Oryzias latipes: one gene and its partners. Each later gene encodes a partner of the first gene's protein in a complex. Links are inferred from orthologs where the notes say so. Each region holds a gene or a part of one and is shown in the gene's direction. Other genes may lie near its edges.

What was found.
Region 2: dnajb13 (region 1) and lrrc23 share a complex: the UniProt entries of both Homo sapiens proteins name them as parts of the axonemal radial spoke complex. The link is inferred for Oryzias latipes from reciprocal best matches to the Homo sapiens genes DNAJB13 and LRRC23.
Region 3: dnajb13 (region 1) and DPY30 domain-containing protein 1 share a complex: the UniProt entries of both Homo sapiens proteins name them as parts of the axonemal radial spoke complex. The link is inferred for Oryzias latipes from reciprocal best matches to the Homo sapiens genes DNAJB13 and DYDC1.
Region 4: dnajb13 (region 1) and ropporin-1-like protein share a complex: the UniProt entries of both Homo sapiens proteins name them as parts of the axonemal radial spoke complex. The link is inferred for Oryzias latipes from reciprocal best matches to the Homo sapiens genes DNAJB13 and ROPN1L.
Region 5: the proteins of dnajb13 (region 1) and nme5 are in contact, whole or in part, in a cryo-EM structure (PDB 8WZB), measured with the Mus musculus proteins. The link is inferred for Oryzias latipes from reciprocal best matches to the Homo sapiens genes DNAJB13 and NME5. Residues at the interface, in NP_705755.2 of Mus musculus: Thr156, Lys157, Lys158, Thr181, Ile182, Asp183, Arg185, Trp188, Arg189, Gly191, Thr192, Arg193, Ile194, Thr195, Phe196, Glu197, Pro281; in NP_542368.2 of Mus musculus: Glu52, His53, Asn56, Met193, Lys199, Pro200, Lys201, Leu202, Cys203, His204, Phe205.

What each region holds. Positions count from the first base shown.
Region 1 is NC_019872.2:16,412,282-16,418,432, forward strand, and holds dnajb13 (dnaJ homolog subfamily B member 13), read left to right. Parts: upstream 1-2,664; 5' UTR 2,665-2,785; coding exon 2,786-2,859; intron 2,860-2,959; coding exon 2,960-3,063; intron 3,064-3,265; coding exon 3,266-3,427; intron 3,428-3,517; coding exon 3,518-3,666; intron 3,667-3,952; coding exon 3,953-4,066; intron 4,067-5,044; coding exon 5,045-5,158; intron 5,159-5,233; coding exon 5,234-5,310; intron 5,311-5,426; exon of another isoform or gene 5,427-5,515; coding exon 5,516-5,681; 3' UTR 5,682-5,781; coding exon of another isoform or gene 5,782-5,896; 3' UTR 5,897-5,980; downstream 5,981-6,151. Other genes in the region: ucp2 (mitochondrial uncoupling protein 2), read right to left, coding at 5,782-5,896, 5,992-6,151. UniProt on the Homo sapiens protein: Functions as part of axonemal radial spoke complexes that play an important part in the motility of sperm and cilia.
Region 2 is NC_019865.2:13,825,034-13,831,045, forward strand, and holds lrrc23 (leucine-rich repeat-containing protein 23), read left to right. Parts: upstream 1-2,546; 5' UTR 2,547-2,811; coding exon 2,812-2,886; intron 2,887-3,050; coding exon 3,051-3,160; intron 3,161-3,242; coding exon 3,243-3,363; intron 3,364-3,574; coding exon 3,575-3,716; intron 3,717-3,897; coding exon 3,898-4,028; intron 4,029-4,184; coding exon 4,185-4,321; intron 4,322-4,405; coding exon 4,406-4,610; intron 4,611-4,703; coding exon 4,704-4,736; 3' UTR 4,737-4,878; downstream 4,879-6,012. Other genes in the region: RNA-binding protein 10, read left to right, coding at 27-118, 198-377, 565-756, 862-918, 1,062-1,253, 1,431-1,478, 1,572-1,615, 1,708-1,798; transketolase, read left to right, coding at 5,567-5,673. UniProt on the Homo sapiens protein: Essential for sperm motility and male fertility. Plays an important role in the proper assembly of the third radial spoke (RS3) head and the bridge structure between RS2 and RS3 in the sperm flagella.
Region 3 is NC_019877.2:16,025,302-16,031,544, reverse strand, and holds DPY30 domain-containing protein 1, read left to right. Parts: upstream 1-2,347; 5' UTR 2,348-2,415; exon of another isoform or gene 2,416-2,475; intron 2,476-2,534; 5' UTR 2,535-2,558; coding exon 2,559-2,708; intron 2,709-3,284; coding exon 3,285-3,404; intron 3,405-5,163; coding exon 5,164-5,358; intron 5,359-5,465; coding exon 5,466-5,477; 3' UTR 5,478-5,597; downstream 5,598-6,243. UniProt on the Homo sapiens protein: Functions as part of axonemal radial spoke complexes that play an important part in the motility of sperm and cilia. Plays a crucial role during acrosome biogenesis.
Region 4 is NC_019878.2:13,557,111-13,563,461, reverse strand, and holds the start of ropporin-1-like protein, read left to right. Parts: upstream 1-2,755; 5' UTR 2,756-2,908; intron 2,909-3,168; 5' UTR 3,169-3,208; coding exon 3,209-3,339; intron 3,340-6,351. UniProt on the Homo sapiens protein: Functions as part of axonemal radial spoke complexes that play an important part in the motility of sperm and cilia. Important for male fertility.
Region 5 is NC_019868.2:17,075,477-17,081,656, forward strand, and holds nme5 (nucleoside diphosphate kinase homolog 5), read left to right. Parts: upstream 1-2,059; 5' UTR 2,060-2,181; coding exon 2,182-2,310; intron 2,311-3,074; coding exon 3,075-3,280; intron 3,281-4,186; coding exon 4,187-4,287; intron 4,288-4,481; coding exon 4,482-4,600; intron 4,601-4,689; coding exon 4,690-4,749; 3' UTR 4,750-4,845; downstream 4,846-6,180. Other genes in the region: rack1 (receptor of activated protein C kinase 1), read left to right, coding at 152-262, 510-650, 855-965, 1,181-1,246; heterogeneous nuclear ribonucleoprotein A/B, read left to right, coding at 6,002-6,180. UniProt on the Homo sapiens protein: Functions as part of axonemal radial spoke complexes that play an important part in the motility of sperm and cilia. Does not seem to have nucleoside diphosphate kinase (NDPK) activity.

The sequences.
Region 1 (6,151 bases):
ATTTGTATAATATGGGTGTCCTTAACGTTTCTGTATGGAATGATTTTTCAAATGACAGAATAAATATACAATTTTGGTCACCATGACTAGAGTTCATGAGTATCATTCCCACAGCTGTAAGTCACATGCAATAAGGAAAATTGAATATTAACGGGACATTTCTAAGATTTTATTTTTAGGTAAAAAGGAAAGTGTCTTGTTAAAATCCATATTTTATAATTTCATTCACTGAAAATCACAAAAAAATAACTTGAAAATGTTCACTGACGAGGATAATCCCTTTAAAAAAGAAAAGCCCAAACTTATAAATGTTGACATGGCACAAAATGTAAATGCATCTGATGAATATCCAGGACATATTGTCTTTAGGTGATTGTTTAATTTTAAAATCAGTTATATGATGTTAGCATGCTGACCACTCCATCATTGCTGTGGTTTGTTTAACCTTTATTAGTTTAGTAATTTCTTAATGGAACTGGACCATTACTTAGTTCAAGACCCTCCCAGATCCTGCAGGTCCACTGGTGGTCCAAAAGGTCAGAACTAAAACCCAATGGCGAGGCCACATTCCAGCACTGTGTAACAGCTTGTTGGAGGATGTTATGGCTTCCTCCACTGTGGAGGTTTTAATGAAAAACTCGTTGTTTAGCTAGCATTTTAAGTAGTTTTTACATGTCTTCGTGTTTTTTATTTGATTAAGGGTCTCTTTGTCTCTACTGTTTGTGTGTGTTATTATTTTGAAATACTATTTTAGTTTATTTATGTCAAGACCAGTAGCGGTTCTAGGCACGGGCCGTCCGGGCGGTGGCCTGGGGCGGAAAACTGAAGGGGGGCGGCACCGGCGGCTCAGCCCTTGTAAAATATTATATGCACCACTATTGGTTTACTTATGTCACAGTTTGTGAGTTTGTAACAGCCTGAACCTGGCCGCGCCGCCGCCCTCGCCCCGCAGCTGTGCGCTCTCCTGTCTTTGAGAAGTAGACACAAATGTGTGTGAAGAAGAAGGGAGGGGGCGCGGGGGGAGCACGGAGCGCCACCGCGTTTGCGCATGCGCAAAACCTGGCGGGCTCATCTTTCAGGGGAGGCGACGGTCGCGGGCTTGATGAAAAAAATAAAAGTAAAAACTGCGACTGCGCCGTCATGTAGCGAATCAGCGCCCCTGGCTATAGCTGCACGCGCTCCTGCTGGAAATGTGTGAAGAAAGGGGGGGGGGGGGGGCTGCGGGGAATCAGTTCAATTGTGGGACGCTTCCAAATTAAGTGGCTAGGTGGGGACAAGGGCGGGGGTTTGAATCTACTTCATAAAACCTTTTTATAAGTCAGTCATAAGGTGACATTCTATAACCTACACTTTAATAAAGGTATAGAAAATATATTCTGCTTTTTTTGGGTTAATTTTGTGTTAAATGCCCAAATGAAAAAATGGCAACACAAAACAATGCTGTCACTAAGGTGACAGTTGGTTCAGTCGACGGACTTGATGTCTTCTTCGTGACGTGAGGACATTTATGCCAAACAAACGCCAAAAACATCTAAAATATGGAGAAAAAAAGGTCAAAGCCATCTGGTGCCCAATTTAGAAAGAAAAGAAAAGAAGAAGAGGAGAAAAGAGATAAAGAAAAGGGTAAGTCCTCACAGCTTGATGCATGTCTTTTCTAAATTCTAATGCTACCTGCCCTACAACAATGTTGCCGATGAAAACTTTATTTTGGTCGATGACCAACACTGAAGTAGGCCCAAATGTTGCAAATAGCGTCATTTTTTTTTTTTTTTTAGATTTTATTCTTAAAAATTTGCTCTGCCTTAACTTGTAACATTAGTTATGATTCATGTGTCTGTCTGCTCTGCTGTAACACAAAGGTTTTGTTGGGTTTTGCTGTTGTATACTAGTTCATAATGTTAAAAAAGCTGTGATGGTTACACAGCATGCTGCTGCTGCCATAAGATGCTAATGGGGCAAATAATTTGAGATTGGTCTTAAATTTAATAATCGTTTGTGGCAGCCTAAACGTTTTCCCAATGTTTTTTTGACATTTAACTGGGGATTTAGGGGTTAATTTTGAGCCTGCATATGAAGTTTATTTTTTATTTGTTTTACAAATGTGGGATTATATTTTTAGCCAATAGAATTTCCATAAATCTGAAGGTAGTTTTAAAAATGAATATTTACCATTTACTGCAAATCTATGGGGACAAAACATAATTCAACAGGTCATAACTGAAAATTTTCCAATCAAAGGATTGAAGACGGAAAATATGAGCTAATTTTTCTTCTCTGAAGTAGAGATCGATATAGAACATGACAATTTAAATTTCCAATTCATAAATGTTTTTAAAATATTTATTTTATATTATTTATTTAATATTGATTTAATATTTCTTAGCTAACTGTATTTTTGCCATGCTTATGGTCTTTTATTTTTTGTGTTCTGATAACTATTATAATGCTGTTCAGAATTCTGACATCTTTTGTATCCACTTCTTAATTTCAATGACAATATAACATGTCAGTTGACAAAGACAAACAAAGTTCTGTTGTGACTATGGGGGGGGGGGGGGGGGGGGGGGGCCGGGGGAGGGTCTCGCCCGGGGAGTAATTCAGGGTAGAACCGCCACTGGTCAAGACAGTTGAATATACCAGCAAATTCAGATTCATTTTAAATCTCGCGAGAGGTCCGATCAGTGGTTGCCAAGGCAGCGAACCCAAACGTACGGACTTCTCTTCGGATTGTCTAAAAAAAACTCGTCGAGAACATATAGGTTTTTGCCGTCAGGGTTTTATCGTAATGAGCCTGAACAACGCTTACTATGAGGCTCTTGAAATTAACAGGACAGCATCTGACGCTGAAATCAAAAAAGCGTGAGTTACTTTTAAAGAAATCAATCACCTGCTGCTAGCTCTGTCTTCTATTTGCTGCTTGCTTGTTTTGGATCAAGTCATGAAATTATTATCTGCGCAGGTATCGACGTTTGGCTGTGAAGTTTCATCCGAAAAGAAACGCTGAAGCTGGAAGCGCAGAGAAGTATTCCCTGCTGGGTGAAGCCTACGATGTCCTGAGCGACCGTAAGACTTCACGGTTCACGTTCTTTACCGGGCTGCTCCGTCGCTCACGTGACCTTTTAAAAATATTGTTATGACAAAAATGCTGCATTTAGCATTCAGTTCTTCAGAGCTTTGCAGGAATTTAAGAATAGCATAAAATAATCTCTAAATAAATGTAAAAGTACTTACGAAGAAGTAATTTTTTTTCCCTTTTTAATTAAAGCTCGTAAGAAGGCAATCTATGATAAATTTGGTGAGGAGGGCCTGAAAGCTGGCATCCCACCTGAGTTTGGCAGTGATGGGGCTTGGTCATCCAAATACACCTACCATGGAAATCCAGACAAAACATTTAGACAGTTTTTTGGAGGTGACAACCCATTTGCAGGTAAGAATAGCCCAAACAAAAACCCCACGTTGTATAAATACTGTCTTGAAAACCTATCCATTGCAATTACTAATGTTAATCTTTTGCTAGATTTTTTCACCAAAGATGCACCACTTCAGTTTGGTGTGCCGCAAACAAAACTGGAGAAGACGCAGGACCCCCCAATAGAGAGAGAGCTTTATTTGACTCTTGAGGATCTCTTCTTGGGATGCACCAAAAAAATCAAGATATCACGCAGGGTAAGATCTGCTGCATTCAAAACCCTAACCCTAACCCGGAGAAAGCAAAGAAAGTTAAACAACTTTGGTATATGGCAAAACCTTGAAAAATTTTACTTAAAAAAATCTCTGGGACAAACGAAGCCACACTTTCCACATGTTTAAGGCTTTTATTTTGAAAAATGATTTCACAGGTAATTTTTATTCTAACACTAACAACTTTTGTGGAAGTCATTTTCATTATTTAATAAAACAGTTACAATAGTTTTGTTCATTAAGGTTTTCCTCATCCTCACTTTCTTTACAGGTTCTGAATGATGATGGACACACATCCTGTATCAAAGATAAGATTCTGACTGTAGATGTGAAGCCAGGATGGCGCGAAGGCACAAGAGTCGTTTTCCCAAAAGAGGGAGATCAAGTAAATTCAGTCTTTAAGAAACTTTTTATTATGTATCAAAACTCACGTGAAACTAATTTATATTATTTTTTCTTGGTGTCAGCTTATGTCATAATAATATGATCCTATTGGTGTTTGTTACAATAACTCCCATAACCCCGCAAAACGTCCTAATATTAATCAATCAATCCATCTATATATCTTGCTTAAAATTGAAATTGCTTTAATAAGGAGTGTGTTGTAACCATTTTTATTTTTATTTCTTGAAAATTAGCTACTACTTACAAATTTTTGGGTAGTTTTCTTTCAATTAATTCGTTTACTTTATATAAAATTTTAGTTGATTTTCTATATAAAATAGTCAATCATATTTGTGTTTTTATTGGTTTGTTTTATTGTTTTCAAACAATTTGTGAAATTCACCAAATGTGTGTGAGAGTTCCTGGTGAAAATGGGATAAAATTACTAATAATGAAAATGAGGATGATAATTGTTTAAATGAAAGAGATTAACTATTTTAAGAAGGTAAATTCTACTCGATGTTATAAAGAAATTACCCTTGGTTATAAGCAACATTCACTGGTTGACTTATCAGTCAATATTACATTTAAATAGTTTCACATTATAAAATGAATTATGATTAGTATTGATGAATATCATATGACGAAGAAGCATTAAAAACTTGTAAAATTCCTTTCCTGTGACCTTCTCTTTGCTCATTTTAAATCACCGGCATTCTGTTTGTGTATTTTGTTTTCTATTAATACTAGTAGTTTTAGTAATGAAAAGGCACAGTTTTGTAAGTCTCTACAGCATTGTTTTTCTGAATTCTTATAGGATCCTCTTTTATTAATTAAATTGTTTTATTTTTTGCTTTTTTTAGTTAAAAAAAAAAGTAAAAGCCGTGTATAGGTTGATTTTCCCGAAGTATTTCGATTTTCTAATATGATTGCCTTTTATGCCCATATTGTTTATTTATGTTTATCAAACCTTTTTTAGGGACCAGACAGGACTCCAGCAGATGTAGTGCTAATAGTGCGACATAAAAGTCACCCTCTGTTTATCAGACAACACAACGACCTTATTTACAAGCTCAAGATCTCTCTGATGAATGTAAGTAATGTAATGGCGTTGTAACTGTTTGTTTTCATCTGAAGCTAAGACTGATGATGATTCTTATCTGAACAGGCACTGACCGACTTCTCTGTGGACATCCCAACACTAGATGGCAGGCTACTCAGCATTCCTATCAATGACATTGTGCAGTAAGTGCTTTTGCGTGCTGCAAGTGAAAAATTTACTATGAGCTCTGCATAATGCAGTACTCCGTTTTTTTGTAAACTTGACATGACGTTTAGCATCAGAGAAAGGAAACACAACAAAAAAATTTTAAGTTATTTATAAAAATGTTACATAATCAGGTCAAGGTAATGTGCTATTTTCTTTTCTGCATCGTCGAAAACACATCAGTCCAGCGTACAACAAGGTGGTGACAGGAGAAGGAATGCCCCTATCCCAGGATTCTTCCCAGAGAGGAGACCTCATCATCACCTTTGAGATCCAGTTTCCAGAAAAGCTTTCCTCTGACAGCAAGGGCCTGATCAAGCAGGCTCTGAGCTCTGGCTATGAAGATTAGATTCATCTGTTATTCTTCCTTGATATGCAGATTAATACTGTAAGATTCTTGAAATTATTGCTGATAGACATGTGAATGATCCTTATGTAAACTGCAATAATCACACTGAAGTCGAGCTGTTGGGATTGGCAGCCATCATAGCTCGTTTCAGCTGCTCGTACGTCACAAACATCACCACGTTCCAGGAGCCCAGGCGGAGGAACGATGGCATGAACCTTTTAAGTGAGAACACGAGAGCAACATGATTGTCTTCTTTGTATTCAATGTGCATCCTTATTAAACATTCAGGTAAAACACAATCCATGCTTACCCTTTGTAAAAGGCAAAGGGGCCCTCTTTGGTCATCATGACAGCAGCGCAGTTGAGCACGCTGCCGTACTGGCCTGGAGCAGAGTTCATGTACCTCGTCTTGACCACATCGACAGGAGAGGCGATCACTGTCGTGCATAACCCAGCACCAAATGCAGACA
Region 2 (6,012 bases), on another chromosome or scaffold:
AATCATGATGTTGCCTATCATTCCAGCTGTGCCAGATGTGTCTACATATCATTATGACGACAGCTCTGGCTTCTATTATGACCCATTCACAGGACTCTACTATGACCCAAATTCTCAGGTAGACTGGGCCGTAGCTGATTTTGCATGTCCATTCCTTTCCATTCATTCATTACTGCACGCCTCTCCTCTCTTGACAGTACTACTACAACCCCCACTCTCAGCAGTACATGTACTGGGATGGGGAGAAACACACCTACGTTCTTGCTGCTAACCAGTCAAACACTGAAAATGAGAATGCAGCTTCTGCAGAGTCACAGTCTTCCACCTCTGGAAGCAAGGAAAAGAAAGAAAAGCCAAAGAGCAAAACTGCTCAACAGGTACTGTACATTCAAGACCAGTCACAACTGTGGAGAAATGGAACTAGCTCGGAGATTTTACTCCTTTTTATATTCTATCTTCCCTTTACTTTTTAACGATCTATTTATGATATCGTCAATAAGATCACATACAAACTGACGTACACATCTTAGAAGATTTTGACGTATTTGTGGTCTGCATTTTTAGATTGCAAAAGATATGGAACGCTGGGCCAAAAGCCTCAATAGACAAAAGGAGAACATGCGATCTGGTTCTTCGTCTGCCGTTGGGTCCACTTCTCTCCCACCTGGATACACTCGGGCTCCAGGCCACAGTCGCTTGGATGATCAGAGGGAGTCTGCAAGTGCAGATGCAGGATACGCTGTACTAGAGAAAAAGGTGCACGAGGCCAACGTACACACTTGGCTTAAGGGGATATGTCTGTCACAATGCATTTGGACTTAAGACTGGATGGTTATTTACATTTTCTTTTTTGTCCTACAGGGGGCACTGTCAGAAAGGCCTCAAAGTTTTCTGGACCAACTGCGACAAAGCACAGAAGTAAGAGCAATGATGTAGAATATTTGCTAGTGTTTAATCATACTTTTTATAACGTCATTTTGTTTTTTACAGTTAAGAGATTCAATGTATTTGCTTTGCACTTCATCATCATCGTAAAGTCTTGATTTTGACTCTTTGTGTAGCAATCGCCTCCTCAACAGCACGGCCTGGTCCCAGCCTACAGCGCAGAAACTGACAGCGAAGAAGAAGGAGATAAAGAAGATAAGGAGGGAAAAATGACAGACTGGGTTAAACTTGCCTGTCTGCTATGTAGGAGGCAGTTTCCAAGCAAAGAGGCGCTCATAAGGCATCAGCAGCTCTCAGAACTGCATAAGGTACGTTTATTCCATTTTAATGCCAATAAAGATGTGAAACAAAAGATTTTAGACAGTCAACAAAAAGCGTTGGTCTGTTACACGTGTCTTCGTGTACTAAATGAGAAAAAGAAATTGACCAAAATCTTTATTTTCACGTTTGAACATTTTGTCCTGCGTCTGTATCTTTGTTTACAGCAAAATTTGGAGCAGAGAAAAAAACAATTGGATGCTGTAAGCAGAGAGGTTGGTCAGTTCATGTGCATGGATTGTACAACAATACATGCATTCAATATTGAGTGGTTTTATGCAGTTTCTACTTGTGTTTTGACATTGCAGAGACTTGAACCTCCAGATTCTAGGAAGCGAAAGTTTAACCCTCTGTAAGTCAGTGATGCTCAATACTTAATACAAATAATGTAACTTTTTTAAGGTGTGTTGCCTAATTTTTTATATCCTTTCCTTGTCTGTATAGTGAAGGCATCACCGGCATTAGTCTTGGAGCACGAATGTTGCAAGGAGGAGTGAAAAGAAGTCTTCTACTGCATAATACAGAAATAGAGTGACCTCTCACATGTAAATTTCCTGATCCAGAAAGGACAAGCTCACCTGCAAAACACTTCACTCTTCCCCATTACATAGACAGAGAAAAATATATTTTGGTCTGACGATACTAGAGTCTGAAGAACATAGCACCTCTTTGGACTGATCCTGTAGCAGTACATGTCAAGATATTGCACAAATTGCACCTTTTTGCTTGTTTTTTGTGTGATTTAGGATTTCCTCTTGCTTCAGTTTGTGTGAATTAAACATGTGAATTCAGAATCACTTACTTTCAGAAAAAGGAAAGTTCTACACAGGTCTAAATGTCATGAAATGAGAATTTTCAGTCACTGTACCATATAGTTTTATTTGTTTTTTAAGAATATGCTGTCATTTAATAAATGATGGGTCCCAGCATAAACTGTGTATATTTCAGAAGTTTTTACGGAAACACTTTTGTGTGTCTGTGTTGTTGTTTTTTTTTTTTTTTTTTTTTAATATGATCACTTACTTAATTGGTTGTGCAGAAAAAAAAACGTTCTTTTGCAGAAGTTGAGTATCTGCAAAAGTCGCTTTCTACAAACAATGTTTTCTTTTTTTGGTTACATATGAACATACTTTTTTTATTTCATATTTTTGGTAGTCGCAGTTGCTAAACTAACTTTTTAATTTCACTTACAAAAAATTAAATACTGCAAGTGTAAAATAGATTAAAAAAAATGTTACATTTTGACCAACGTCTACTTTTGTTTACTAGTATTTCACAATTTTTGTCATTAAGTTTGGCCCTACCCGAAGTTGGGGTTAGTTGTTGCTGTGGAGTTTCCATGGTAACGCTATTAGAATTTGGTATGTTCGGTGTAGCTCGTACCATCCATACCCAAATTAACCATAATCCTTGTTAAATATTATCGGAAAATAGAGCCTTTGAATTGCTCGTGTTTCCACTCATTTCCGCGTAAAACTGCACTATTGCTTATCGTCGTACCGAATGCTGGAAGCCTGTTGGCTAGCTTAAAGTCGGTTCAATCCCGCTATGGAGGAAGAAATTCTACTGTCGGACTTGGAAGATGAGGAGGAAACAACTAATGCGAAAGGAGAAGGCGATAAGGTACACAAAAATCCGTTAAAAAAAAAAAACACACATTGATTTTTACAGAAACTGAGGAAAAAAAAGTTCATTCGTAAACTACAGTAATGCATTGACAGCTACTGAAATGAATTTCAAAACTTCTGTTCATTAAAATAAAGCTTTTTTGTTTTGTTTTTTTAAAGGCTCAAGCACACACATTGACCAAAGACATAATAAAAGAGGGACTTTCATTATTGTGCAGGACAGTAGACAGACTTGGACATGCTTTTATTAAATTAAACCTCAATAACATGTAAGCAGACAAAACACATTTTAACTGGACTGACTAACCCAATCAGCTTCTAATGGATTTTTCTTTACTACCTACTTCACAGGAAATTAAATGATCTAGCTGCGATCAGCGGCTACATTCACATACGTTTATTGGATTTATCCAACAACAGCCTTACTGATCTTTCTCCTCTGGCCTCCCTAAAGCAGCTCCTGTGGCTGAAGGTAGCCTACTTTATTTAGATTTGTCTTGATCATTTCTGTGGCAGATTCATTCATTTGAAATGACATTAATTGCTGAATTGTTTCTAATTTCCTCTATGATTGAGAGGTAAAAGGATTTAGTGGTGAGCCTCTGGTTTTAAAATGGTCCTTCAAACAGCACCAATAGTTATAATGGGTTGTCTGTACATTCTTAATGATCGACAAACTGCAGGTTGACAAAAATGATGTGGCGAGCTTCCGAGGACAACCGTTTGCTGAGCTGATCTATCTGCAAAGGCTAAATATGGCAGCAAATCAGTTAAATGATGCCGATGGCCTGGTTGGGCCCGCCCTGGAGAGCCTCAATCTTACAGGTTATTGATTAATCTGTATTCCAAAATTTAAAATAATCTAATTTTTAAAATTATATATATATATATATATATTTTAAAATTATATTTACGATGTAAAATACTTTCTATCTCACATTTTTGGAAATATTAAACATTTAAAGCCTAGTATAGATTTTAAGTGACACAGTGACCTCTTTTTCAGGAAACAAAATTCAGTCGCTGCATTGTTTTCAAACTAGCTGCTTTGGAAATCTGCTTACTCTGGAGCTGAGAGGAAACCATTTGGAAACCACTGATGGCCTCAACCTTCCAAATCTGCAACGATTATATCTGGTACATAAAAGCTGTTATTTTATTAAAATGACTAATATCTGTGAAAGTTCTTATCACTAAAATTATGCTCTTCCAATACCGTACCACTATTCCTTACAACAATATATCAAAATATTGATTAGAATTGCTATTACCTTTTTTTCCCCTTTTTCATAGGCTGATAATGGGATCAAGCATCTTGAAGGTCTAGACAAGTTAGAGTCTCTCGCCATCCTTCATATTCGAGATAATAAATTAGAAACTCTAGAAGGCCTCAGTCCCAACATGAAGTGTCTTCAGTATCTAAATGTCAGGTATGTGTAAGAAGGTGAGAGACCCATTGTGGTACCTACAAAAATTCTAAGAGTTCATATTTTCTGTTTGTTTCCATCTTTTAGAGGCAATTTAATTGCAGAGGAAAAAGCTTTGCAAAGCATTGGCCTTGTGGCAAAAAGCCTGCAAGCATTGGTTCTTTCTGAGAACCCGCTGGTGGCAACAGCAGACTATCGCCCCAATGTGTTGACACTTTTACCGCAGCTGAAAAGACTCGACAAGGAGCCTGTGACACCTGCGGAGAGGGGTGACAATCAGATGAGAATCAGAGTAAATGCTTAATATTTTTGTGGTGTGATCAGATCACATATTCTGGCCTTTTTTTTTTTTTTTTTTAAAAAAAGGACATTTCTATCTTTTCAGGAACTCGAGGAAGAGGAAGTACCTGAGCCATAAGATTTCATAAGATCTTTGTGAGAGGAAGTGCTGGGCATAAAAAGCAGGTCTTTCAAGAGATGATGATCGTGATTGCACATCAAGTTTGATTTTAGAAAAGCTTTCTTTCCAAATTGTTACAATAAAAAAATTGCCTTGTGAAGTGTTTTTTTTTTTTTTTTGTCTTAACAAGAACAATCACATACACAACATGTAGTTGCAGGATTAAAGGTGGGGCTGGTTTATAATCCATGCATTGTCATACATTTTTCCCTGAGTAAGAATGAGAGGGCAAAATCTGACCGCACTTCCTAGTTGGCTGACGTCCACCTGCGACCTTAAAGGGACAGTAACATAAAAAAAACGTATGTGAAACATTATTAATGCATAACCTGCATGTTCTAATTAACTGTTTAATGGATGTCAGCTATATTATAATATATATGTTTAATTTGTTGCAGTTTTGACAGTTTTCAATAACATTTTCACGCTGCACCGTGATGCATTTGTGTACATATGGTATATCTGTCACCGGTCTTATTGTTATCTGTGGAATTTATTGAGATTTCCTAACATGAAATTTAACGATAAAACTTTAAATACGTCTTTGAAGATGAACAGTTAAGGAGTTAAGTAACAGCCTCTCAAATAAAGCGCGATTTGACGTAATAGGATTGCCTTTTTCTGCTCCCTCCCCTTCAGTCGTCCCCTCCCCTCCTCTCAGGCTCGCATTGGGGCAGCTAGCATCGGCGTGGAGTAGCACTGAACCCACGACACCCGAGACGCACTGCAGTTAAAACAACTCACATTAAATTCACTTTCATTAACGTCCCTTTCAAGTCCAAATAAACATGGCTAACTATCACAAGCCCGACGAGAAGACCCTGCAGGGGCTGAAAGACGTCGCTAACAAGCTACGGATCAACTCCATTAAGGCAACATGCGCCTCTAACTCTGGGTAAGTTTTTTTAAAATAATAATTCTGGAGTTTAATGAAGTATTGCGTTTGAAAGAAAAAGTGACTACCGAGTAAAGGCGTTTAACTGCGAGGGCCTGTTTGCACGTGCGGTGGATTAGTTTCACGCGGCGCAACTTCGCAGAAGCTAGCGTGAAGTTTCAATGAATGCAGTTTGTCTGCTTTTACTTGCCGTACATTTCAACTCAATGCAGCTAACATTTTTTTACTATGCAGACAATAAAAAACCTATAGAAGGCATGATACTGACATTTCGAGTCGCCATTGCTATTTATTAGCAAATAGATCACATGCTTGTGGTGAGTCCCGTGGTTAGTACAA
Region 3 (6,243 bases), on another chromosome or scaffold:
GTTGCTGCCACTGTGGAACCTCACCATGCACCTTCACAAAGCTCTTCCTGCAGATTAGAAGTATTTTTTTTTTATCCTTAAAAGTTTCTGGTTATACAAAATGATTGTTTTATGTATAAATTAACACACTGGGAAGATTTCCAACATTTATGCATATCACCTATTCTTGGGTATTTGTGTTGTGATTTCTTTAGAAAATATGAGGAAAGTCCCACCAGCAGTGTTTTGGTCTGTGATCCTGACAGATAATTGAGTAAAGACAATACATGTTCAATTTGACCACTTTGGATCATTTACTGACAGACATAATAAGTAATCTCCAGACTGTGACCGAATGCCCTCTTACATTTGCACCCCCAAAGGGAGACTGGGTTTGATAGTTGTTAAAAATATACAATTAAAAACTTGACACACGTTCCATAAAAGAGAAGGTTAAAATAAAGACAGTTGGACCACACTCCAGCACCGCATGAGGGAGGCTGCCTCCAGGATCGCCTCGGCCCCACTGCACCGGTGGGTAGCCACGACGACCACCACCAAGGGAGATCTCTAATCCAAACCCTCACCAGGAGTACCTGCTCAGGGCCCAAATTCACACAAACACACCACAACCCAAACAGTGATTAAAAGAAAATACAAAACAGAAGAGGTGCAACTGAGCAGGACACCACTAATTTGTAGGCCGGAAATGGGGGGGGGGGGGAAATCCCCCTTACACAATACTACACATGGCACCCACCAGCTACCGTAAGGATAAAGGGAGGAGGCAGCCACCTCCAGCCAGGTCCAACCACCAAGAGACTAAAATGAGCAAACAGTTTAAAAAAATGGATAAGAGCAAGGGTGTCAAGCTTGATTTAAACATTAAAAACACTAAGCAAAACAGCAGTGGCAACTCTGCTGGAAAAAGAAAAATAAGTTAGTTCTCCCTGGGACAAATACATGTTTACAAACCCTTATGTTACCGCTCATGCCCCAGGGTCAGAACTCATGCCACCACCTGTTAATATAAATAGAATTTAAAATGTTGCAAACTCAAATGCTTAAAAAACTTTTGTAAAAGGACTCAAATGATTAAGCTTTAGCTTAAAAAAAAAAAAAAAAAAAAAAAAAAAAAAAAAAAAGCCCACATGTCAAGCTCACCCACCAAGGCCAAACCAGCATCTAGGTGGAACTCACAGCTGCTATTTATCAGCCTCATGAGCCAATCACAGCTCAACAGACAGGTGCTGGCCATGAATATTAACCTATGGAACACCACGAGGGACAAACTACCACCCACAGCCCTGTCTGTCATATAACGATAAAACAGGGATAAAGAGGGAGTTTCCAACTGAGGTCTGTTTCTAACAGTTTGTTTAAAACAAGGTTTTTTTTTATAATGAGACTGCCACTCTGTAAATAACAGAACCAAAAAAAAATCCAAACAATTGCAAAAATCCCAGTGCAAGAAATTGTAATGTAATATGGAGGGGAAAAAGATGAAAAATATATATAAGACATTCTAGACATGTATCTTTCTCAGTTATTATAAGTGGCAATTTCTCCCATTTTTCTACTTAAACATATTACCAAATGGCCCACTTTTTAAGGACAGAACAGTTTATCATAACAGTAGATAAAGCCATTGACTGTACAATAGGACATTATGTTTTAATATATCTATTATGCAGTCAGTAAGACTAACAGGGTCTGCGCCACCTAGTGGTAAAAATTTCGTAAAAATGCACAAATCACATTTTTCTTTGAGTGTGAATATAGAATCTTCCAACAATTTTATTTCTGCTTTTATTAAATAACTATGTAGTAGCATCTGCACCATTTAGATTAAGATAACTATTAGTTTTATGAATTCCTTTTTTAACATAGTCTTTTGAATTATTCCTCCCCCAATTTCTGACATTCTGTGACTGATGTCTCTTTCTGCTTCATAACACATTGAAGCAAAACTTGTAAAGATGCAAAAGAATTTTAATATTGTTTTATTGAGTTTAACTACTGGAAAGCAATTTAAAACACATCTCAAAATGATCACTTTCTCGTCAAAATATTTAATCTGTTTCACAAATACTATTTTGTGCGTCTGTGTATGGGTGTGTGTATGAATGACAATGAGGTTTTTTCACAAATATTTCTTTTTGTCTGTAGTTTTTTTTGGGGGTGTTATTAATATAATTGAGGATTATTATTATTATTATTATTATTATTATTATTATTATTATTATTATTATTATAAAAATCATCATCACCATCATCATATTTATAGTAGTAATAACAATGCCTGAAACAACCAATGGTTGCATTATAGAAATGACATCGAATACAAAGCGGAACTAAAAAACGGTTGGGAGACTTTAAACTGTGTGGGACCGTTACCACGGAGATGCAACCGTCCGCATAAAACAGTAAAATACGGTAATTTCCGTGTTAATTTTGGCTAATTTGTGCAGGTTTTATCCATAAAATCGCTTTCAGGTCATTTTTGTTCGTCATTATTGCCTTAATAGCTCCGAGCCTCCATATTTGCTCTGTAGATAAACAATCAGAAAACGTGTAGCATGATGGATTCGGAGTATCTTAATAAACATCTGGGGAAATGTTTGGCTGAAGGACTTGCTGAAGTGGTTGAACGGAAACCCGTGGACCCTATCCTTTATTTGGCCCACTGGCTGTACAAGTATAACTCAAATACGCTGTACGAGAAGAAGGTGAGTCGTTTTGTTGTTTTCACCAGCAGGGGGCACTAAAGGATGCAAACACAAAAGTTGTTGATTTACAGTGTTTTTAAGCATTACGTGGTTTACTTTTCCGTGTTTTCCATTTACAAAACGCTATAAAAACATAAAGTGATTGCATATATCATAATTTTTTTGAAACGTTGTCTTGCAAATGCAGTGCTGAATTAGAAACTATTAGAAAAGTGTGTAAACACACCAACCATAGTGTCATTTTTTTTTTAAAATGATGGATCTAGATTTTGCACTCCAGCTGCTTCTGATTATACCCATGTTGTTGCATGCCGTCAAACAGGTTTTAAGAGGATAACAGTGTTAGAGCACGTAAACTCATTATGCTGCAGGATGTAAAATAAGTAGGGCCTCAACAACAAAGACTCACCTTTTACCTTTAACACAGAAACTGTCTGTACCTCTACTGACACACAGCTGAGCCCTACTTAAAACAAAATGAAAGTTTAAACATTTTATGGTTTATATAAGATGTATACTTGTAAACTTTAGACTTGTAAGCTTAGATTTGTTCCTGTATCACCTTTGTATTTGCAGAAGAAGGCAAGTCTGGCTCTGCTGGATCAAGATCAGGAAAAAAGCAGCCAAGAAGCATCACATCAGGAAAATCTCACAGAAGAGGAGCAGATCAGTAATGCATCAAAAGGCACAGAGAAAGTACTTTCTCACTTTCTATTGCTAACTTAAAAGTATTTGATTTTAAACATCCTGAATGCATAGCTGACATTTTTAAAGACCTACTCTAACCATCTTTTGATCTATTTTCACAGAATTCCCAGTGGTCTTGTAATTCAAATTCAACTTTACTTGTGCACCACTTTTTCGACTACAAAGCCTCTCAAAGTGCTTTCCATAATAAAATAGATAATTGTAAGATAAAAAACAGTAGTTAAAATAGCAAACATAGTAAAAATAATAATGATAAAATAAAATTAACAACATTAAAACACATACAGACCCAAAACATACACATCCCACAGGTACAATCAAAATGAAGCGCATCAATTGCTGATAAAATTTATAAAATCTAATGAAAACATGTTGACAAGTAAAAACTACATAAAGGCTTTACTAAAAAAATGAGTTTTAATTTTTTTCTTAAAAACCTCCACAGTGGATGAAGCCCTCACCTGCCTGAGGAGACGTTCCACATGGAAGGCCCACAGTACTGAAATCAGGCCTCGTCGTGGGTTTTTGTTCTGACTTTTGGGACCACCAGCACACCTCCACCTGTGGATCTAGGAGGGTCATAAACTAAAAGTAAATCTAATAAAAAAATGAGGGGCCAACTCCATTTAAACTTTTAAAAACAAATGAAAAGAACTTTAGAATCAATCCTAAAGCTGACTGGGACCCAGTGGAAAGATTTCAAAATATTTCTTTATTTTTTTTCTTTAGCACTGCAATAGCCTGGTTTGTTTAGTCACAGGAACAATTCAAGCTGGCCATCTCACCATTTGCAGGAAACGTTCCCAGCTAGGTTAATTCACAGCTTTGCTGGGCTCAGGTGAACGTCGCGTCTGCGACTATGATTGTGCCGTATCAATCAATTATGAAGATTTTAGTCAAAAATCTAAAATCTGTGGTTTTCCGGGACATAGTTTCTACAGAGCAGTAGTAGTTCATCAGAAATATGCCTCTGATTCGTGGGTGGTTTGACCCCTTCCCCCCTTACCGGTACCAGTATTTTGAAACCCTCTCCCGTTAGCTTACAGCCCCTCACACCCACCTAACATGACTGGTGCAACAGAAATGGTGAGCAATACCGGAGCTGTTCAGATGTACAGTTTTGAACCACATGCCAGCTTGGACGAAGAAAACGCCGACGTACCTGGATACATAACAAATATGATCTTTTTCAAACTGCATTTTTTTGTTTGCTCCCAATTAACAACAATTTGAAAAAAGAGGTACTTAAAAATACAATTTAGAGCTTAACTTTCTTTTCATATTATGTCCGCCATCATGACATCTTTTGAATATCAGGCCATTGTTTTTAACAACATGTTAAAAACACAGTTTTCATCAGAGTGGGTCTTTAAAGGCCTAAAACTTTAACCCCCCTCTGAGGAGCCACAGATTAGCTCAGACACTAGAGACAGACGCTGAGACAGACAGCACTATTCAATAGTTAAGCATCAGGAGGCAAATGGGCAGCGCATGAGGGAGGCTGCTGATAAAATCGACTCCAGATGAGTCACGCACACTGCAGAGACAGAATTAAGGAATCTACTCCAGCGTTACAGGCAGGATCTGCACATTGATTCTTAAAAAATGCTGTATAATACAAGTTTGAAATACATTGCAGTCTGCTTTAATAAAACAAATGCTTTTAATAGTTCTTATGTTGAGCTAAAAGTCCTAAAACTCTTCAAAAAATGTGTTTTTTAAATGTAATTTCTTTACTTTTTCTTAGACTGATGATGTGGAAACTGAGAAACTTGAAGATGTCATCCGGTCCTCGTCAGTGCTCCAGAGTGAAGATGCTCAACCCGATGAGACAATTCACCATGAAAAAAAAGAGGAAGACATAACTGACCGCAACCATGAAGAAAAGGAGGAAGAGATGAGAGAAATCAAAGCAAGTCCATCTCCTATCGGTCTAGAAAAGGTAAGTATTTGTTGTTTTTCTCAAATATTTGGTACATCAAAATGTGTGTTCAAAAAGTACAGAAAGGAGCAAACGTTTGCTGGTATTTACTGGACACTTTATTGCAGGAGGCTGCATGATGGAAATTTTGGACCAGTAAGTCATTGGAAGGAACCAGAAAGTCATCAGAAGACTGCCGGAATATGACAGCAATGACGGATCACAAGATAAATAAATAAAAAGTGCTATTTTTTTCCTGATATCTTTGTTTAACATTTTGATATTTTATTTTATTGGAGTAAATTAAAAATGAGTTAATATTGTTTTTGTTATTTAGATCGTATAAAAAATTGCCACCTCACTGTTTCACAATAAGCATGAAAGGACAAATATTGATTTTTGTAATTTTATTGTCTTTTATGGCTTGTTCAAGAAGTGTTCAAAACTTTTAATAAAGTCATTTTAAATTGAAAAAAAAGCTGTAGCTATTATTAGACTGCATATTTCAAAACTGCCCATCGCTCTGCCTTGTTTCCACATTTTACTTGTGTGTCACAATGAGACTGCTCTGTTACTGAGCTCAAAGTTCAGAAGCTACATCTATACTAAATCTGAGTTTAAAAATGAGTATGAAGGGAAGGCTTGTAGAGGAAAACAAATATTTATTTATTATTTCTCCATAAATATTTGTTTCCATGTATTTTATTCTGGCAAAGTTCCTGAATCTTCATCAACCTTTGACCATGAAAGTTAACCCTCCTAGATTTCCTGGCTTTGTTGTTGCCCTGCAGTTCAAAGGTCAGATGTCTGCGCAGATCAGGCGCAGCTGCATGTAATCTGGGTGTCTAATCAGCATTTCAGGCTGAAAGAGGGCTGGGCTTTGGGAAGGGAAAAGCAAACTGGTGA
Region 4 (6,351 bases), on another chromosome or scaffold:
AGTAAAAAAAAAAAAAAAAAGTGTAGATGGTTTAATAGAACTGCACTCAAATACTTTTCAGAAGATGACGACCCATGTCTCTTTATTAAAAGAAAATTGTGGAGTATTACATTGATAGTTGTAATGCCTGGGTGACTATGGGGCAAGTCAGTTTTATTTTTGTACGGAGCAGAAAAAGAAGCAATACTTGGCGAGGATAAAAGGGGACTAATGTGTTGAGCTATAGAAAAGTCAAGTCCACATAACCTGTATTTTTTGTTGAAATCCATCCTTTATGTTGAATTTTTCTTTTTTTTTTGTTCCTGTGTCCTTCCGTATTGACCTTGGAAATGGAATCTGTGTCTTCACCCCAGCCCCATATGATGTTTAAGTTAGTTGAATTGAAAATGTTTACAAGTCTTTTCTGCTTAGTCAGATTTAACTTGTAGAACCATTTTGCACCCAGTGTATGTGACTCATTTTTGTCCTTGTCGTGCAGTTAAGGATTGATGTCTATTCTTCTTTTTCTGTGGGATTATTCCCCCCCCTGCCGCTTTGGTTACCAAATGTTGGTAGTCGTATTGTCTCTTTTCTAATCAGTCTGTGGAAACTTGTATCTTCAAGATGCTGTTTAATAAACTTTTTTTTGCTTATGGATGGTCTTGCTTCACTATGAGTCTGTCTCATGCATATTGCATGGCTTATATGGACATATATATATGCACATGCAACCTTTTAGTAGCCTGAAATTGAAGATCGGAACTCTATGTAGAAAGAAGACCAAATTTGGTAAATATTGTTCAACTGTGTTCAAAAACACTTCCACACACAAACACTTGGACCTTCCTTACCGAGACACAGGGTGTAGAGGCAGTTTAGCTTAGTCTGTTTAGTTTTCTATTTTATAACAGATTTTATGTTTTGTATAATTAGTGCAGCCCACTGAGACAACTGTTTTGTAATATTGGGCTATATAAATAAAACTGAGTTGAATTCCAGTTCTTTAAATTGATGCATCAGATCACACAATTGTGGCCTTTAGAATATAGACACACACTTTTTATCTACGTACTTATAGTTACACTAAAGAAAAACCTTCAGATCAGTAGTGAACTGTGCCAAAGAATAATGCATGTTCAGTTTAACCCTTGTACTATCTTAGATGACCCCACCCTTGCATTGATGTGTTCTCCCTACCATGATAAAGGTGGAAAGATTTCATGTAATCCACCAGTGAAGATCACAAATCATTGAAGATAAAAAGGTTCAGAGCACTGTCTAGTGCAGGGGTCGGGAACCTAAGGCTCGCGAGCCATATATGGCTCTTTTGATGGTCACATGTGGCTCGCAGACAAATCTTTAATTCAAATTTTTTTTCTTCATTAGACCAGTCCTTCTCGTGCGCGATGCGATGGCAGAGGCGCGCAGTAGTAGCGGTGCTTAGAGAGACAAATCTGCGCCAGCACTAGTCTTCTTCCACTTTCGGCTTCTCCCATCAGGGGTCATGGTAAATTTGGCAATGTTTTACGCCGGATGCCCTTCCTGACGCAACCTTCTCAAACTGGGCTTGGAACCAGCAGAGGTAGAGAAGGGAACAGGGAGCAGCCCGGAGTCGAACTCGGGTTTCACGGATGGAAGGCGCCGCAAACCAGCATGAGCTAAACTGGCTCCTGCGCCAGCACTAGTATAAGTTTAAAATTGTCTATTAATTCACAGAGTTTGTACCACCCGGAAACCTGTGAATTGCCGTGCCTAAAACTGCGCGCTCCCGTCTCTGAGAAAGAGCGCGCAGTTGCGGGGACGGGATGTGTGAGGGAGAAAGCAGAGGGTGGGGCTGAGGTGTTGTGGGGACAGGCAGCAGGTGAATCGCGCAGGGATTGTAAATAGGTAAAACCCACTGCCTGTCACTCACTGCAGCGTGTGAGTGTGTGTTTGGCTCCAGGTCCGCATGTGAGCAGTCTGTCTCACATCTACAAAACATTCATACCAACCTAAGATCACGTTTAAAGTCTCAACGCCTGCATGAAGCAGAAACTCACCACGTAAACCAGACTAGACCATCAGCAAAACTACCACGAGAAATACTCATCATTTATTAGAAACAGCATAACAATGTTATTAAAAAGAATCCACAGACTTATTGTACTTTAAAAAGGTTGAAATTACATCAAATGCACACATTCACTTGTATTTTAGTTTTAAACATATTGTCGCGGACTGAGTTGGATGGCTGTTGGGCCGCGTTAAAAGTTCTGGAGTTCATTGACCGCATCAAGCAGAGAGCTGATTGGCTCTCAGTTCTGTCGCTCAGCCTGTTGTTAGGTAGTTTGGACCAATGGGGTTCAGCTATGGGCCGAATAAGGGAAAGGGGAGGGCTGCAGCGGGAGCAGGGGAATATAAAGTTGGGAGACGCGCTCTCGTCTCGTCTCGGCGGGAGAGATTCAGGAGTTGCTGAATTAATTGTTCGGCGTTTGTCGCGGTCTGCAGTAACCCGAATAAAGAACCTTAAAAGAGGTTAAGTCTCCGTGCCTCAGTGTGGGAAAGGGACACTACATTATTGTATGGCTCTTTCGAAATTACATTTCAAAATATGTGGCGTTTATGGCTCTCTTGGCCAAAAAGGTTCCCGACCCCTGGTCTAGTGGGTCTAGATGACCCAACTCCCAATGGTAAAGTGCCTAGGATAGCACAAGGGTCAATGACATTCTGTAGTAACATTTCTAAAACAGCAGGGGGCGATATGCACATGCGGCTCCATTGACCTCAGCGACAGAAGAAGAATTCTGTTGCCATGCGACGGTAATATACAACTGTCAGTTTACGGACACGAATTGTGGCGTAAATCAGAAGGACAGCAATTACGATTTTTTGGTGAACATTTTAAGGCATTTTTTGCTTATTACTATTTACAGTCTACATATTTTTCCAGGTAACGTAATATGATTGTTTTTCTCAGCACTATAAATAATTATCACTTAATTTAAACGTATGTGTGATGCACGCACATGCTAAATGTTGCAAAGATGTCGTGACGTAGTCAGTAAGGGATTTCTGCATTTTGTTAACACTTCAATTATTGTTTGTTTAATGCAATGTTTTTATTTGGAAGGGAAATAAATGGGTTATTCATACCAAACTACTAAACTAACTAAAAATTACTAATACAATTAATTTCTTATTTTTGTTTAGTACTTGCTGGCCGACAAACTACAGTGCACGTATTTCAGCCATGCCCCTTCCAGACACACTGTACTGTGCCGAGCAGATCAACATTCCACCAGAACTACCAGATATCCTCAAAAATTTCGCCAAAGCAGCCATCCGAACGCAGCCCATGGACTTGCTTGCCTGGAGTGCAGCGTGAGTTTCTTCTTCTTTCTCTTTCGGCTTTTCCCATCAGGGGTCGCCACAGCGAATCATCCTTTTCCACCTCACTCTATCATGGACATCTTCTACCCTAACATTAGCCAACTTCATGTCCTCTGTTAAGACATCCATGTATCTCCTCTTTGGCCGTCCTCTCGCCCTCCTGCCAGGCAGCTCCATCTCCAACATCCTTCTACCAATATATCCACTATCCCTCCTCTGAACATGTCCAAACCATCTCAGTCTGGCTTCTCTGACTTTGTCCCTAACACAGACAACATGAGCCGTCCCTCTGATGTACTCGTTCCTTATCCTGTCTAACCTGGTCACTCCTAAGGAGAACCTCAACATCTTCATCTCCGCTACCTCCATCTCAGCCTCTTGTCTCTGTCTCACTGCTACCGTCTCTAACCCATAGAGCAGAGCTGGTCTCACCACTGTCTTGTACACCTTTCCTTTGAGTCTTGCTGACACTCTTCTGTCACACAACACTCCTGACACTTTCCTCCACCCGCTCCAACCTGCCTGCACTCGCCTCTTCACCTCTTTTCCACACTCCCCATCACACTGAACTGTTGACCCCAAATACTTAAACTCCTGCACCTTCTTCACCTCATCCCCCTGTAACCTAACGCTTCTACCTTGATCCCTCTCGTTCAGACACATGTATTCTGTCTTACTACGACTGACCTTCATGCCTCTTCTTTCCAGAGCAAACCTCCACCTCTCTAGCTGTTCCTCCACCTGCTCTCTACTCTAACTGCAAATTACAATGTCATCCGCAAACATCATTGTCCAGGGAGATTCCTGTCTTACCTCGTCTGTCAGCCTGTCCATCAGCATAGCAAACAAAAAAGGACTCAAAGCTGATCCTTGGTGTAGTCCCACCTCCACCTTGAACTCCTCTGTCTGACCTACAGCACATCTCACCACCGTCATACTTCTCTCATACATGTCCTGAACTACTCTGACATACTTCTCTGCCACTCCAGACGACCTCATACAGTACCACAGCTCCTCCCTCGGCACCCTGTCATACGCCTTCTCTAAATCTACGAACACACAATGCAGCTCCTTCTGACCTTCTCTGTACTTTTCCATCAACATTCTCAAAGCAAAAATGGCATCAGTGGTGCTCTTACGGGGCATGAAACCATACTGCTGCTCACAAATCTCCACCTTCTTCCTAAGCCTGGCTTCCACTACTCTTTCCCACAGCTTCATTGTGTGGCTCATCAACTTTATTCCTCTATAGTTGCTGCAGTTCTGCGTGTCACCCTTGTTCTTAAAGATCGGAACCAGAACGCTTCTCCTCCATTCCTCAGGCATCTTCTCACTCTCTAAAATCCTATTGAACAACCTTGTTAGAAATCCCACTGCTGTCTCTCCTAGGCACTTCCATACCTCCACAGGTACGTCATCAGGACCAACGGCCTTTCCGCTCTTCATCCTTTTCAGAGCCTTCCTAACCTCATCCTTTTCAATCTCTGCTACTTCCTGCTCCACAACAACCACATCTTCCTCCCTTCTTTCCCTGTCATTTTCCACGTTCATCAGCTCCTCAAAATACTCCTTCCATCTTTTTTGTACACTCTCCTGAGTTGTTAGCACCTTTCCATCTCTGTCCTTAATCACCCTTATCTGTTGCACGTCCTTCCCATCTCTGTCTCTCTGTCTGGCTAGCCTGTACAAGTCCTTCTCTCCTTCCTTTGTGTCTAACCTGTCATATAGCTCATCGTAAGCCTTCTGTTTGGCCTTTGCCACCTCTCTCTTCACTCTACGCTGCGCTTCCTTGTACTCCTGTCTACCTTCCTCAGTCCTTTCTACATCCCACTTCCTTTTAGCCAACCTCTTCCTCTGGACGCATTCCTGTACTTCCTCATTCCACCACCAAGTCTCTTTACCGTCTTTCCTCTTTCCAGATGACACACCTAGCACCTTCCTACCTGTTTCCCTGATAATTTCTGCTGTAGTTTCCCAGTCATCTGGAAGCTCATCCTGACCACCCAGGACCTGTCTCAACTTCTGCCTAAATTCCTCACAAGTTTCTTCATTCTGTAGCTTCCACCACTTGGTCTTCTTTTCTGTTTTCCCTCTCTTCTTCTTCCTGACCTCCAGAGTCATTTTACACACCACCATGCGGTGCTGTCTGGCTACACTCTCTCCTACCACCACTTTGCAGTCGTTAACCTCTCTCAAATGACCTCGTCTACATAGGATGTAGTCCACCTGAGTACTCCTACCTCCACTTCTGTATGTCACTCTATGTTCCTCTCTCTTCTGGAAGTAAGTGTTGACTACAGCCATTTCCATCCTCTTCGCAAAGTCCACCACCATCTGTCCCTCCAGATTCCTTTCCTTCACACCAAACCTGCCCATCACCTCCTCATCACCTCTGTTGCCCTCACCAACATGTCCATTAAAGTCTGCTCCAATAACAACTCTCTCTCCTCTGGGGATACTCTCTATGACCTCATCCAACTCACTCCAGAATCTCTCCTTCACTTCTAACTCACAGCCAACCTGTGGCGCATACCCACTGACTACATTCACCATCACCCCTTCAATTTCTAACTTTAGGCTCATCATCCTGTCTGAGACTCTTTTCACCTCTAGAACACTGTTTACAAACTCCCCCTTCAGAATCACTCCTACCCCGTTTCTCTTCCTATCAACACCATGATAGAACAGTTTGTATCCTCCTCCAATACTACGTGCCTTGCTGCCCTTCCACCTTGTCTCCTGCACACACAGTACATCTACCTTCCTTCTCTCCATCATGTCTGCCAGCTCTCTGCCTTTCCCTGTCATTGTGCCAACGTTAAGAGTCCCTATTCTCAAACCTATGTTCCTGCCTTTTCCCTTCTCTCTCTGGCCCCGGACCCTTCTGCCTCCCCTCTTTCTTCGACCAACAGTAGTCAAATTTCCACCGACACCCTGTAGGTTAACAGCATCGGTGGCGGTCGTTGTTAACCCGGGCCTCGACCGATCCGGTATGTCTAAAGT
Region 5 (6,180 bases), on another chromosome or scaffold:
TATGCTCCATGATTTTAAAGAAGTTTGCATGTATTACCTGACCTGGTTTCTGATGAGAAGCTTTGTGGATGAGAGCACGTCTCCACAGTTTTATCTGGTCTTTTCATGTCAGTGTAAACTTGACGGTCACTGTCTGCTGCTGTTTCTATAGGTGTGGAACCTGGCGAACTGCAAGCTGAAGACTAACCACATCGGCCACACTGGCTACCTGAACACGGTGACCGTATCTCCTGACGGCTCCTTGTGTGCATCCGGTGGAAAGGTAAGCTGGTTCAGTTGGAGAACTCGACTCGTATACTTGTGAAGATTTTTAGTGATGGCACACAAAGGCCGACCTCCAGGTGTCAACTGTGATGGATAAATAACACATCATTCTGTTGGTAAACAATTGATGACAAAAGAGGCTGTTTCTGAGTGACACTGAGTCGTAAAGCCACGCTAAATGAAGATCCAGAACAGAGCTGCTGTGTGGTCATGGCTTATTTTCTTGTTAATGTTCTCTCAATCAGGACGGCCAGGCTATGCTTTGGGATCTGAACGAGGGCAAGCACCTGTACACCCTGGACAGCGGCGATGTCATCAATGCCCTTTGCTTCAGCCCCAACCGCTACTGGCTTTGTGCCGCCACTGGCCCTAGCATCAAGATCTGGGTGAGAGCTCCTACGTGATGATGTGGAACTACTGCTGAATGTGGTTTGATGGGCCTTGATGAAACTTGAAAATGCTAACTGTATTGCTTGATGATAACAGAGGCTGTTTCTGAGCTCCAGACTAATTAGCTTCAGTCATTTCTGTACATTGCCTGTTATTTTGAGTTGTTTTAGTCATACGGTAAATGTTTATTCTGTGTGCAGGATCTGGAAGGGAAAATCATTGTGGATGAGCTGAGACAGGAAGTGATCAGCACAAACAGCAAAGCCGAGCCCCCACAGTGCACCTCTCTGGCATGGTCTGCTGATGGACAGGTATTCAGCTCCTCTTGACATAAGTACAAGATGGGGCTGTTGCTAAAGCTAGTCTGTCCTTCTAACCCCCAGTGATTATACCCATTCACTATTAGCTCTGATTTTGACTGCTGACAGTCCTGCAAATATGAGGGGAAAGGACAAAAATCAAGGCTATAATCAATGTATTTAATGGTTTTTGTGATCAGTAACTTCCATCCTTCATTTGCTTGCAGACCCTGTTTGCTGGTTACACCGATAACCTGATCAGAGTGTGGCAGGTCACCATTGGAACCCGATAAGAATCCATCGCTGCATCGACTTTAAATAAAAAGACTGTTTGAAAAGTTGTGTGTTGGTCTTAACTTTAAATATTTTACTTTCACGCAGATTGAGTTTGTCATTTTAGAAGACTGCTCATAATCAAAGTTTTACTTATAATATTGATGCAAGATCATTTAAAAAGCTAGTTAACAAATTTAAGTTTGAAATGTTGAGGTCTACATTGAATCATGAATAAAGTTAATTGTAGGAGTGAAACATTTGAATTGATTTATATTCCTATGATCCATCCAGATTGATGCATGTGGCAAGTTAATCAAAACACCCCAGACCATTATAAAATCGTTTAGAAATGAAATTAATCAATACTGGAAACTGCCTTTTGGATTGAAGCATGGGTTGCAGCAAAAACTGATCATTCCACTCCAATGTGCAGAAATACTTAATTTTGCAAAGATGTGACCATCCAGTGTGGTAGAATGTTCTCTTTGGATTAGGTTGATGTGGAAAAACAGTGGGCTCAACTTTATGAAACTAAAATGTGAATGGATTTGACATTAATTCTTGTTTACTAGTTTTTTTGTACACAATTTAAACTTATCTTGTAGGAAATACAAGGTACCAGGTATTTATCCGAGTCACACTGAAGTTTTGGCTAAAGATCTCCTGGATCCATTTTAGGTCAGTGAATCGGATCATTCAAACTGAATCGATATGAATCAGCAACCATAAATATCGAATTATTGCTAAAATCTATCATTACACCCTTAGTTTTCATTCTTAAAGGCTTCTCACGTGGCAAGTAGGAAATAAAAGAAGTTTGTCCCTCCTCAGCTCCCGTACTTGTGAAATGGTAGCGTAGCAACCAAAACAGCGCAGGGGTATTGAATTGGTGGGACGAGGAGGACTTCTTGTCGTTCCTATAAAAATCAGTTTTACTTTGCGTGAGACAGAGATGGAACTTACGCATTTAGGCGATCAAATTCGTGTAGAACGAACACTGGCGATCATAAAGCCAGATATCTATGAAAAAGCCGAGAAGATCGAAGGTTTCATCCTTCAGTCGGGCCTCACAATCCTGCAGGTTAGTAAATCACTGATGCGCAAACCTACACGTCTGAGAACTGAGACTATTTACGTTTAGAAGGAGTAGTTTTCTGTGTGACCAACGTTTAATTAACGCAGTGGACACATGTCTACTGCCATGTGAAGTTTATTAACAATAAAAATAAAGGTTTTTTTTGTTGTTGCTAGAAGTATAAATAAAATGCTGTGTAGAAACTGTTTATTTTTCCAAAATGTAACAAGAACTCACACACAGTGGCCAAATGAGCAGTGAGATCATTTGGCCACTTGAGGGCGCTAATCCAAACAATTCGGTGAGCGAGCTAAAGTCATTTCTGACACAATTAGCCCTTGTGCTATCCTAGGCTCTTAAACATTGGGAGTTGGGTCATCTAGACCCCACAATACAGTGCGCTGAACCTTTTTTCTTCAATGATTTGCAATCTTCACTGGTGTCCATGAAATGTAGGATGGCACAAGGGTTAGAGATGCAGAAGACAAGAAGTTTTTTTTAAGGATGGTACAAATAAAATTTCTCAGTCACGTGAAGGAACAGTAATGTATTAACCTACAAGATCTTCTAGCTTTCAGAGCAAAAAAAGGTTAGTGGTTTCATTATAACTGCAGGTAAACGTCAGTTTTGAACAGCCTACTCTAGCTGTTAATTCATGTAGGATGTTTGAAAATCATGAGGACATACGTGTTTGAAAAAAACCTTTCTGTCAAGTTTAAATAGTCATCTCTCCTGCCATGGTTCTGCTGTCCGTTCTCCAATCCTGTTAGAAGCGAAGGCTGCAGCTGAGTCAAGAGCAGTGCAGTGACTTCTACTCAGACTGCAGCGGAAAACCTTTCTTTCCGAGCTTGATGGCTTACATGAGCTCCGGCCCGATCGTTGCCATGGTGCTGGCTTGTGAGGATGCTGTCACACGCTGGAAGTCCATCATTGGTCCTGCCAGCATCACAAACGCCAAAGAAAGTCAGCCAGAGTGGTCTGTTTCATGTTTATTTGTGTTTATACCGTAACAGAGGAGTACATTTGTATTTATCAGTGTAGATTTTTCATTTCATTACATTCATAATAGAATAAATTTTACTATGACATGTCAATGAAGAATATCTGGATCAGAGGTCTGCAACCTGAGGTTCCAGAGCTACATGCAGCTCTATTATCCCTCAATTGTGGCTCTTTGGCTTTCAAGAAAAAAAGCATACGATTGTAATATATCATGCTTTTGTGGTTTTGGTTCTTTTTTTTCTCTCGTTAAGTTGTCAGTTATGCTTAGATTTTTATCTCAGATGCCCATACTGATGCAGATAAAGCACATTTTCCAATCTTCTGCTGTACCACAGTGTCTAGTTGCTGTTCAGAAGCAAAGTATTCAAAGTAAATAATTGTGTTTACATGTATGGATCTAGAAATAATGATGTCATTAATATATTTGATAGTATTGTAAAAGGTAAAAAAGCAAGACTGTGCACCAAAGACATATTTGTAAAACATGCCATGTTTGATTTGCAATTTTATTAGCCCTTTTAATTCTGTAAATCTGCTAACTTTAAATCTGCTTTAGCAGATGTTTGTATTTTATTTTGAAAATGAAATTGTTGTGCAGTTCTTAAAAGTAAAATAGATGTGATTAAACAATTGATTAAAACTATGTCATATATATTTTTCACTTTAATTCAGTTATTGTCGATGCTATAAAGCTCCATGTTGTGAATGAATGGCCACAAAAGCATGAATAAGGAATTTTTCCAAACTTGTGAAGTGGGACTTTGCGGCTTCTACTGTGTTTTTCTCAGTAGAAAATTAGACCAAGTGACTCTTGTAGCTTAAAAGGTTGCAGACCCCTGATCTAGATCTTTAGTCTGATGATATGGCTGATTTTCTCCAGTCTTAGAGCGAAATATGGAACTTCTGACCTGAAAAATGCTCTTCACGGCAGTGAGTCCTTTCAAGAAGCTGTGAGGGAGATTAAATTCATGTTCCCAAACTGTAAGCTGTTGTTTCTTTTTTACACATTTTGTTGTCTATAGGGCTACTACAACAAATACAAAAACATGTAAACTTGTTTTAATCCTTCACTCACAACTAGACTGAATTTCTTTTCTACCAATTGTCACCATTCTCTTCGTATTTAATGTATAATTTTATATGACTTAATAGATGTTTCCTGTTTCTCTCTGTAGCTTTCATTGAGCCTTCCCCTTCAAAGCATGAAACCAAGGAATACCTGAGCAGGTGTCTGAAGCCGGTTTTGCTTCGTGGACTCACAGAGCTTTGTAAAGAAAAGCCCCTCAATCCTGTTGTTAGTTTACTCTATGCAGATTTTTCTTTTTATTGATTAGTAGCATTTTCCTGTTATTTAATTATTTATTTATTTGTTTTTATTTACAGATTTGGCTTGCTGACTGGCTGCTGCAAAACAATCCGAATCAGCCTCAAACATATTTCTAACTCTTGGATGATATCAAAATAAAAGACTCAGGAAGTTCCAGATGTATTCAATTTATGTACCACTTTCTATGAATAAACACACAACTTTCAGCTGTGTTTGTGCATTAAGTTTGTTTTGTGACATTATCAACTAAGTTTTGTTCTAAATTGTATTCGAGTGTTTTTTCTAACATACTGAAAGCTTTTATATTTTTTAAGAATTGACTAGATGAATGTGCTGCATTTGAGTTGCGTCGAAACTTGTGAAAACGGAAGATTTTCGATCGTTAATCTCGCTACGGAAGCGTCATTTTTTAAGTAGAAAAAACACTTGATGTTTACAACATTGTCGCCGTCGTATAAAGTGTTCATCAAATTACAATTACAACAGGCATAGAAAAATGTAAACAACCTTAATAAAGTTAAGTAAAAAAAAAACAATAATACAGAAAAATACAAACTTAAATAAAAAAGATTAAGATAAAATTAAAGAAAGGGGATACATGGGCGTTGTAATGATCATTCATTTAACTGATATCAGTGAACGCCGCACTTCTTTTTTTAAACTCCTTCCCCTCGTCTGCGGGGCGGAAACGAGTGGTGTTAAAAAAATAGAGGAGAGAGATTAACTCTGGTGTGATAGGTTGATTTGTGATTGACAGTCGGCCTTGTCCAATCAGAAAGCTTCTTTGGAAAAATGTCAATTTTTTCCCCCTGCCGGTTCCAGAAAACCAACCATGAGTTTCTCGTCGCGTGGGAGAATCCATTTTGAAGAGAGCTCTCCGGCTGCTAGGCTTGTAAGTAGACTGTTATAATTTTTTTTTTCATCATAACTCGACGCAATCGCAATTTTACCTGCATTCTTTGTTTGTGTTTTAAACGGTTCTCATTATATTGATTACAGAAGAACGATATTTCATGATTTTAATAATTTTCAGGGCTGCGTGGCCTCTGACTTACGTAACTGCGAATTTAATTTGCACAGTCCGGGTTTATCGATGTGAGATGGCTACAACGTCGCTAATCTCTACGCCCGGCAGAACAACTCTTGATTGGCGATAGTCGCCGCCATGATGATGTTGTAAAAAAGATGAGTTTTTGGTGCTATAAACCCGGTTTAAACTGGAATGTATGAAATGCCAATCTGCTGGTCAAAATGGTGGGAAAAGCGTGAATTCGTAATGGGGTAATGGCGAACAGAATCACGACAGACGCCGACATTAACAGGCATGTTTCTATCGTTTCCTCGGGTGTAGGTGTCATAGTACGAAAAATGTCTGAAGAAGCGGAGCAGCAGTACATGGAGACGTCGGAAAACGGGCACGAGCTCGACGATGATTTTAATGGAGCCGGCCTAGTCGGCGAGGGGGAAGACGGCGGCGCCGAGAACCAGTGCGACCAAAGCGGGGACGCCGAGGATGGGAGCTCGCAGAACGGCGGCAACGAAGGAGG